Arabidopsis thaliana: one gene and its partner. The protein of the gene in region 1 interacts with the protein of each later gene in a pairwise test. Each region holds a gene or a part of one and is shown in the gene's direction. Other genes may lie near its edges.

Evidence for each region. Proteins that work in one complex are often made in the same cells at the same time.
Region 2: the proteins of AT5G67385 (region 1) and SR1 interact in a two-hybrid assay, tested with the Arabidopsis thaliana proteins (one study listed by BioGRID).

Annotation. Positions count from the first base shown.
Region 1 is NC_003076.8:26,882,203-26,887,989, forward strand, and holds AT5G67385 (Phototropic-responsive NPH3 family protein), read left to right. Parts: upstream 1-2,000; 5' UTR 2,001-2,551; coding exon 2,552-2,607; exon of another isoform or gene 2,608-2,710; coding exon 2,711-2,780; exon of another isoform or gene 2,781-2,882; coding exon 2,883-3,497; intron 3,498-3,623; coding exon 3,624-4,151; intron 4,152-4,335; coding exon 4,336-4,881; 3' UTR 4,882-5,228; downstream 5,229-5,787. Other genes in the region: CKA1 (casein kinase alpha 1), read right to left, coding at 1-110, 192-386, 458-587, 868-1,181; AT5G67390 (glycosyltransferase-like protein), read right to left, coding at 5,681-5,787. UniProt on the Arabidopsis thaliana protein: Acts as a substrate-specific adapter of an E3 ubiquitin-protein ligase complex (CUL3-RBX1-BTB) which mediates the ubiquitination and subsequent proteasomal degradation of target proteins. Involved in disease resistance.
Region 2 is NC_003076.8:312,665-317,090, reverse strand, and holds SR1 (serine/threonine protein kinase 1), read left to right. Parts: upstream 1-1,685; 5' UTR 1,686-2,339; coding exon 2,340-3,668; 3' UTR 3,669-3,901; downstream 3,902-4,426. UniProt on the Arabidopsis thaliana protein: CIPK serine-threonine protein kinases interact with CBL proteins. Binding of a CBL protein to the regulatory NAF domain of CIPK protein lead to the activation of the kinase in a calcium-dependent manner.

The DNA of each region.
Region 1 (5,787 bases):
GCAAGACCCCAATCTATAAGACGAAGCTTACGCAGCTCATGGTCAATCATAACATTATGAGGCTTGACGTCTCTGTGCATTATTCCTTGTGAATGGCAGAAGTCTAGTGCCTGCAACAAGTAGTCTTACCAAATGTGAGTATGAAGTCAAATGGAATACTTATATAATCCAACCAATACCAGAATTTATACCTTCAACAGCTCATAGATGTAGTAACGAATGTCGTAATCAGTCAACGTAGGATACAAAACTTTAAAGTCTGTGCTGTTAACATATTCAAATATCAAGCTTGGAGTTTTCGAATGTTGATCTCTAACAACATCAAGCAGCTTGACAATATTTGGCCCACCGCATAGGTTCTGAAGTATTTTAATCTCTCTTCTTATCTACGAAAAAAAGATCATAGAGAGATTCAAGAAACAACCCCAATCATCCAAAACAATGTAAAACAATTCACCTTCTTTTTCTTAACAGGTTTGAGGATTTTGATAATGCACTTCTCCTTGCTGTTCACATTTATACCCTCGAAAACTTCACTATATTTTCCACGCCCTACCTTCCTTACTACCTCATAATCATCTTGCTCCCTGAGAGAGCAAATAACAAGATCAAAATGTTAAACTAAAAAATCATTGCTTTACAATAGAAGAACTAAAAGGCAAAATAAGCACAACTAAAAAATCAAATTCATCAATAGAGATAAAAGTAAAGTTTTTTACATTAGCAGCATCAATTTGATTAGATTAGCTTCATCAAGAAGCAAATCCAGAGCAAGCTGAATTCAAATTCAATACAAACACTACAAAAATCGATTAAATTACTTTAGCAACTACCAATTCAGCTAATTCTAGGGTTTAACAATCTTACCCCCATTGAACAATGAGTGACTCGTAATCCCAATAATCCTTGGGTCGAATCACATTGACTTCGGTGTACACACGAGCTTTCGACATCGCCCGCGTCTGGTTAGAATCAGAGATCTCTACGAGAAAATCTGGATCGATCGTAGTACAACCGGAAACTTCCGAGACAGCTCTCGCTGTGGGAGTGACGATAGATGAGCGTAGGATAGGAGAGTGCGCCGTTGGCGCACGTAAGGCTAAGACGGCGCACAGTAACAAGAGACGTCGAAGAGGAGAATCGAAGAAGAGGAAGAACAAGAAGAAAAGCGTATCTATCATTCACTACGCTCTTCCGCACCAGATTAACTTTTTGTTTTCCTTTTTTCGTTTGCGTTATTTTTGCGCCAACTAAATTTGCCATAAAGGCCTGACATAGTATAATGGGCTTTATTTATGGCCCAATATATTTGGACCCAAATAGTCCACCCGCTTATATACATGTTAGGGTTCTTATTTTTGGGAAGCTTTTGAAATTTCGGATTTGCATTAAGCGAGGATTCGATCAGTGATAATGGAGCTAAGTCTCGAGAAAGTCTGCAATAATGGGCAAGTAAAAGGTGGAAACTTTCTATCTGTGTCCCCACGATTCATCAAGGAGGCTGCGACAAAGCCATTTAAAGATTGTTCAGACTCCTATCACTATCAATGGGTTCTCCGACAAATGTAACAGCTAATTGGTTGATACACGCGAAGATTACGCTATGGTTGTTTTAGGAGTTGAGGCATTTGATGGATGAAGAGGCTCAATGTATAGTGTGGAAGACTGCAAAAAGCTATTGATCTTGAAGGGGTTGAATTGGTTAACAATACTGATTTTTGATTCCAATGTTGAGAACTCGAGGGAAGATTCTGTCGTCTTTACTCATTTAGCTGACCAAGCCATGAAAAACAACTAGAGGTAAAAACTCAGATTCATGTATCATCCTCTGTTTTTATTGTTTGCAATTATTTGAAAATTTTGAATTTTTCGTTGAGGACGTCTTATATTATTCAAGAGACACAATTTATTGCAAGATTGAGTAGAGTCTCAATCAAAATGTTGAGGCATATAGTGACTTCAATTATCAGAAAAAAAGATGATAAGACTCTCTGTAGGGACAAATATCCCATCATTCATGTTCTGTCACAAAACCAAGATTCTGCAGCTTACTTATATACTCCTTCCTTCTCTTCTTCTTACCACTAAACCAATTTATAGCTAATATTTGTAAGGGATATATACATTTGTGGAGAGGAATCAATACTCTCTTTTTTATAATTTGGAATTATTAGTTTGGTACAAAGATGTGTGTCTGATCCACTTGGACTCTTCTCAATTTTTAAACCAATCCATTACCACACACACTCCCTCCTTAGACTGACTCCCTATCTTGTACTCTCCATTAGAATGACATAACTACCCTGTTCTGTCTTGTTCATTGCTTTTGGTGGTAAGGGTAGTTTATGGTTTTCTTTGTTTGGAGAATTTGAGTTCTCTTTTTCTGTTTGGTCACAATTATCAAAAGAGAGGAAGAAGCTCATTTTCTTGATCTTATTCTCTCTCTTTTAGTAGTACATTACGGCACGTCTTCTTCATGAGAAGGACTTGAAATAGTGTTCCATGGTGAATTTCTTGAGTGAAAAGAAACTGCGAGCTAAGTGTTCGTAATATGTCAGCAAAGAAGAAAGATCTTTTGTCCTCAGCTATGAAAAGAACCAGTGAATGGTTTTTTATTCTCTTCATAAGATTATTTTGTTTCTCAATCCATTTTTTGTTTCCAGTCCTGAAGTAGAAATCGTTTATAATACTCTTTATTACATCGTTTCAGGATTTCTTCTCAAGAAGTATCTAGTGATGTCACCGTTCATGTAGGAGAAGCTTCGTTTTCACTGCACAAGGTAGATTATAGATCTGTATTTAGCGATCAATCTCTCTGATGTAAAGCCAATGACATGATCACATTCGTGCCGATTCGGTTGTTTTCTCTCTGAATCTTGCAGTTTCCACTCATGTCAAAATGTGGGTTTATCAAGAAACTTGTGTCGGAATCAAGCAAAGATTCAGATTCCACTGTTATCAAGATACCAGATATTCCAGGAGGCTCTGAAGCATTTGAGCTAGCGGCTAAGTTCTGCTACGGCATTAACTTTGATATGAGCACAGAGAACATTGCCATGTTGCGATGTGCAGCGGAGTATCTAGAGATGACAGAGGAACACTCTGTGGAAAATCTCGTTGTAAGAGCCGAAGCTTACTTGAATGAAGTAGCTCTCAAGAGCTTATCGAGTTCGATCACAGTCTTGCACAAATCAGAGAAGTTGTTGCCCATTGCTGAAAGAGTCAAACTTGTAAGCCGTTGCATCGATGCAATTGCTTATATGACTTGTCAAGAGAGCCATTTTTGCAGTCCTTCTTCAAGTAATAGCGGTAACAATGAGGTTGTGGTTCAGCAGCAGAGCAAGCAGCCTGTTGTTGATTGGTGGGCTGAAGACTTAACGGTTCTTAGGATTGATTCGTTTCAACGTGTCCTGATCGCGATGATGGCTAGAGGGTTTAAGCAGTATGGACTTGGTCCAGTGCTTATGCTCTATGCTCAGAAATCTCTTCGAGGGTTGGTGAGTTTCTTACAAACACACATTACCATTTTGGTTGAGTCTCTTCTTTTGTTGAAGTTCCATAAACTAGGGACAAAGAATGATGGGTATCCGTTAAAAGTTTGTTTCGTTTCTTTGCAAATGCAGGAAATTTTCGGGAAAGGAATGAAGAAGATTGAGCCAAAACAAGAACACGAGAAAAGAGTGATTCTTGAAACAATCGTAAGCCTTCTTCCTCGAGAGAAAAATGCAATGTCGGTTAGCTTTCTCTCTATGCTTCTACGCGCAGCAATATTCCTCGAAACAACGGTTGCTTGTAGACTTGACTTGGAAAACAGAATGGGATTACAATTAGGACAAGCCGTGCTCGATGATCTCTTGATTCCTTCTTATTCATTCACTGGAGATCACTCCATGTTTGATACTGACACTGTTCAACGCATTCTCATGAATTATCTCGAGTTTGAAGTCGAAGGAGTTCGCTTAAGCAATAATGGTGTTGATCTTGCTGGTGATATGGAACGTGTTGGTAAACTTTTGGAGAATTATATGGCTGAAATTGCTTCTGATAGAAATGTGAGCTTGCAGAAATTCATCGGTTTAGCTGAACTTATCCCCGAACAGTCTAGGGTTACTGAAGATGGTATGTATCGAGCCGTCGACATCTACCTTAAGGTAATATTAAGTTAGTAAACATTTACATTCATTTGCTCTATACCGAATCCGTTTAGATGAGACTACAAAAACTGGTAAATATTTGACATCTTGTGGTTAAGGAGATGATCAAGTTCCCATTATCTTAGAGATTTTGAAAAACTTTAAGAGAGCTCTAGTGAACAACTATGGTTTTTTCTTGCAGGCGCATCCCAATATGAGTGATGTAGAGAGGAAGAAAGTGTGCAGCTTAATGGACTGCCAAAAACTATCACGAGAAGCCTGCGCTCATGCAGCTCAGAATGATCGTCTTCCTGTTCAGACCATTGTTCAAGTCCTTTACTACGAGCAACAACGTCTACGAGGAGAAGTCACTAACGATTCAGATTCTCCAGCCCCACCACCACCACAACCAGCAGCTGTTCTTCCTCCCAAACTTAGCTCCTACACCGACGAACTCTCCAAGCTTAAACGCGAAAATCAGGACTTGAAGCTCGAACTTCTCAAAATGAAAATGAAGCTAAAAGAGTTTGAGAAAGAGAGTGAGAAGAAAACATCATCATCAACCATCAGCACGAATCCAAGTTCACCAATCTCAACTGCTTCCACGGGTAAGCCTCCATTGCCAAGAAAGTCATTCATAAACTCTGTTTCCAAGAAACTCGGTAAGCTAAACCCTTTTAGCATCACACCATACAACGGTAGAGGCAGAACCAAACCACCAAAAGATCGGAGACACTCTATTTCTTGAATACCATATCTATATACACATATATAAAGTTGAATTTTTGTTGGAACTTTTAAGTTCTGATTCAAGGGGTTTTCTTCCTGCTTATCAACATTTGATATTTTGGTGTGTTTATGATGTATAAACTTTATCTGTGGAACTTATCACTTATGAGTATAGATCATAGATTCAGAGAATTTGGGATTCTAAAGCTGATGATGATCAAACCAGATCGTGGGGTCATGTATTAAAAAATAATAGTAACTTTTCAATTTTAGTTCTTTGGAAATTAGGGAAAGAAATATATATAAAAATCAGAACTAGAACAGGGGAAGTAGGTGATTCTCATGAAGCCTGAAGGGAACATGACAGCAGAGATTGCATGTTCTTGTCCCATAACTAATTCATCATTGGCCCCTTTTATAACTTCTCCTCTATTATTATTTTTTATTCATAATAATTCAATTTTGCTCTCCAAAAAACAAAACTCAATTTCATTATCTTCTCCTTTTTATGTGTATTTTATAGCTAAAGATCGAACCTTATATAGATACTTCACCTGATAAATTTTGTGCTCGAAATTAATTAATATTTATCTTCAGAAACAATAAAACATTAATATTGATTTTATTTACAAAAACCCTAAAAAGAACTAGTAAACAAGAAAATTACTGATAAGCATTAAATAAAAAGGAAAAAAAATCACCTGATATGAGGCATGATAAAACAATCTCATCAGAAAATAAAAATTAAACTACTAAATTGAAAAAAAGAGATGCAAATCTATTTCAGAATACAGTTAAAAATTAAAAATTATTTATTATCAAATAACATTCAAGGTCAATGCTTGAAGCCATGGCTGCTGCTTCTGATGTTTCATCATTCTTTCTTGCCTCACTTGTTCTTCAAGATTGTTGTTATTGTTATTAC
Region 2 (4,426 bases), about 27 Mb from region 1:
TATGGTCATATATATTATATCGTTAAATTTTGTCGTAAAAATGGGTTATATGGTCACATTAATCTTGCATGGGACCAAAAGTAACAAGCTAAATTAATAATGTATTCTTTTATTTTGTTTGTCAACAATTAATAATGTATTCAAAATCAGTAGATATTTTGATTGGAGCAACCTTTCGAACCAACGAAAGAAAAGGGGCAATTATATAACCATCCATTTTTATTGACAGAACCTTGATTTCGTAATTATTTAACGAGCTTCTTTCCTTCCTCCTTCTCTTTTTCCCCAACGAAAGAAGCTTCCATGAAACAGCATCAGAAAAAATCAAAATTAAAAACAAATGAAATCTTTCGTACATCACATTATTAACGCGGTAATTTATTTTTATTTTATTCCCGTACATGTCTTTTAATGGATTTATATATATTAAAAAAGATGTTGATTTGGTTTTATGTGAATACTGTAGTACTAATTTATGCCTACCAAAAAAAAATAGTACTAATTTATGTGTGGCTTGGATTTATATATATGTACAAATGGGCACAGCGTGACAGCGAAAATAGTAACGTACGATTTATCTAATCTTTAAAACGTTGTGTGTTTTGGATAAATTACAAAAATAATTAAAATTGATTTTATATTTTGTTGTACGCTGCGGTGGGTAGATCACGTCGTAGATTTACTATAAAAATTGACACTGCAAAATTTATCCTCTTTTTTTTGGTATTAAACTTTAACCAAAACTTCACAAGATTATAAAAGCCTTGCACTCTAACAATGCAATGCGATGATTTCTAAGTCGTCAAATGTTTAAGTCTGAGGAATTGGGACATAATTAGTGTGATTGTGGGTAGTGATCATACATGGAACTAATACATCTTTATAAAATTATACTGACTTTCCAACTTAGCTAAGTAAGAAAATAGTAACTATTAAAAAAAAACAATGAGATAATGTTAAATATTAATCAAATTTGTTTTTCTTTTTTATTTTGGGCAAAAGTTATTTTTTCAAGCGCACTGTTTGTACTTTATAATGTGAAACATATATTGAAAATAATCAATTGAAATCTTAAATGTAGTCATATTTCTTTTTTTCAAAAAGCATCAAATAGATCAATTTGCCCATAAGACTCGATTTATTTTTCCACGAATATGGGAAAAAACAACTGGAGATTTTTAAAAAGGAATGACATATGTTTTCCAAATGTATTAACTAATGATTCCAACATAAGCAAATATATTTTCTAAAAATAGTGAAATAAACAACTGTGAAATGTATACAAAAAGCATGAAATATATTTTCCCAAGTATTGTTTAAATTTGATAAATAATTCAAGTTATTTGGAACAGTGATGGAGTGGAAAAATAAACATAAGAATCATAATTAAAAATGAACGTAGAGTTTAGATAGTGATTTGAAAAGATTAAGGAAGATTAGGAAATGACACTAGTTATAGGACGATTCCAACCTTGAGCAGTGGGGCGGGAGTTGTAGTAACCTGTCAACCGCAATATATAGCCTGGTGCTCAAAATGAGACTTGAACTAATACTAATAAGGGGAATTTGGATGTTCAAAGGACTTAACCACGATTGATGACTAAACAAAGCAGTGGTTAGCTGAATTACTAACTAACTAGAGCTAGCTGCCTAGGCTAGTCGAAAGAACAATTCTCCGTTTTGAGTTGACCATAAAATAATAATATTCAACAATATTGGAGGAAACATGTTTATATGTTCTTGTAATAATAATATTATAGCAAATAGCCGAAGATACGACGAAGCGTATATGTGTGAAATGAGTATATTCTACAGCCTAAACCCTCGGAGATACCAAATCAACACGACAACAGCGACGGGACACCTGTATGGTTCTAATTCAACTTCTTGTCCACATCTTCATCTTCTTCTTCTTCTTTTTTTAATAGATATATTAAGAAAACAAAACAGAAAATCTCCCACGTCTTTACAAAGAAAATAAAGAAGAAGAAAATAAGGAAAAAGAATCTGATAGTAATTGACAAAAATACCCTCATCTCCTACCTCAAGACAGTAATATATATGTAACAACTCGATACAGAGCATGGCTTATCTCTTATCCGAATCCTCCCAATTTGTCTGTCTCTCTTTTGTTTTCTCTGCTAACAGATCTCTCTAAATATCTGTTACTTTTGTTCATATCTTTTTACTTTTCAAACTACTAATTTTCCTTTCGCTTCTTCTATTAATAACAACACTCTCTCTCTCAGACTTCTTTTCTTTTTTTTCTACGGCGTTGATTCATTCGCAATGACCTCAGTTTCTGTGTACCATAATTGACCTAGCAGATTCTGTTTTTAATGGTAGATTCTGACCCGGTGGAATTTCCGCCGGAGAACCGCCGTGGACAGCTCTTCGGCAAATACGAGGTCGGAAAATTGGTGGGATGCGGCGCCTTCGCGAAAGTGTACCACGGGAGGAGCACAGCGACGGGTCAGAGCGTTGCGATCAAAGTGGTGAGCAAGCAACGGCTGCAGAAAGGAGGACTCAATGGCAACATTCAGAGAGAGATCGCTATCATGCACCGTCTGCGCCACCCTTCTATCGTGCGCCTGTTCGAGGTCCTCGCCACCAAATCCAAGATCTTCTTCGTCATGGAATTCGCCAAGGGCGGTGAGCTATTCGCCAAAGTCTCCAAGGGCAGGTTCTGCGAGGATCTTAGCCGTCGTTATTTCCAGCAGCTCATCTCCGCCGTCGGATATTGCCACTCCCGCGGCATCTTTCACCGTGATCTCAAACCGGAGAATCTCCTCCTCGACGAGAAGCTCGATTTGAAGATCTCTGATTTCGGACTCAGCGCTCTTACCGATCAGATCCGACCCGACGGCCTCCTCCACACACTCTGTGGTACGCCGGCGTACGTGGCGCCTGAGGTTTTGGCGAAGAAAGGGTACGACGGTGCTAAAATCGACATATGGTCATGTGGAATCATACTGTTCGTCCTCAACGCCGGTTATCTCCCTTTCAACGACCATAATCTCATGGTTATGTACCGGAAAATCTACAAGGGAGAATTTCGCATTCCCAAGTGGACCTCACCGGATCTCCGGCGACTGCTGACTCGGCTTTTAGACACGAATCCGCAGACGAGGATCACTATCGAAGAGATCATCCACGATCCATGGTTCAAACAGGGCTACGACGATCGGATGTCTAAATTCCATCTAGAGGACTCCGATATGAAACTCCCGGCGGACGAGACCGACAGCGAGATGGGAGCAAGGAGGATGAACGCATTCGACATCATCTCAGGATCTCCAGGGTTCAATCTCTCCGGTCTTTTCGGAGACGCCAGAAAGTACGACCGAGTGGAACGGTTCGTGTCGGCGTGGACGGCGGAGAGGGTGGTGGAGAGGCTGGAGGAGATCGTGTCGGCGGAGAATCTGACGGTGGCGAAGAAGGAAACATGGGGGATGAAGATCGAGGGGCAAAAAGGTAACTTCGCAATGGTGGTTGAGATAAACCAGCTAACGGACGAGCTGGTTATGATAGAGGTGAGGAAGAGACAAAGAGCCGCTGCATCTGGACGAGATTTATGGACAGATACACTCAGGCCTTTCTTCGTCGAGCTTGTGCACGAATCAGACCAAACGGACCCAGAACCAACTCAAGTACATACGACGTCGTAGTTTAGGTATCTGTCAAATAAATTATCCAAATAATAATTAAAAAAAAATATCCCGGGTTATATGTAATTGCTTTTTTTTTTACCCGGAGAATATCTCTGACATAATTATTCAGGAAATTTCTCGACAAATCTTAATTTTTAGTTGGCAAGTATGTATCTTCTTGTTATGTAATCATAATTATATTTTATATAAATGAAAAATAAAATATAAAAAAATGTATTACTTGTTTTAAATGGCCACTATAATACATTAGTAACGTATCGTGGATGTGAAGTAATGCTATGTGTACAAGACACTCTAACTTAACCATTACTTAAGGATTAGTTAACTATTCAACATGATATTTAACATACATATAGATGTAATTTTTAACAACTCATAAAACACAGTCTTCTTCTGCTATTAATTTTGTCATTATGTAAAAAGAAGTGTCAAGATTTGAGCCATGAACTAACACAACTGATCTACTTTCACCTTTTTGATAAGTAAGAGGTTGTCCTTATCACATCATTGTAAAAATATACTATTAAAATAGATATATAGCTAGTGGACTTTATATAATCCTATCGCATGTGGCTGTGATATAAGATCATACACCAATAATTCTCATCAATCATTTTCTTTTCTTGGTATCCACATTGAATCCAATCATCCATAATCCATTAATTTCAGCTTCAGCAGTTATAATTACTGTAATCAACATATATATCACCTTTTCAATGCAATAATTGTAGGCTCCACGATCTATATATTATCCA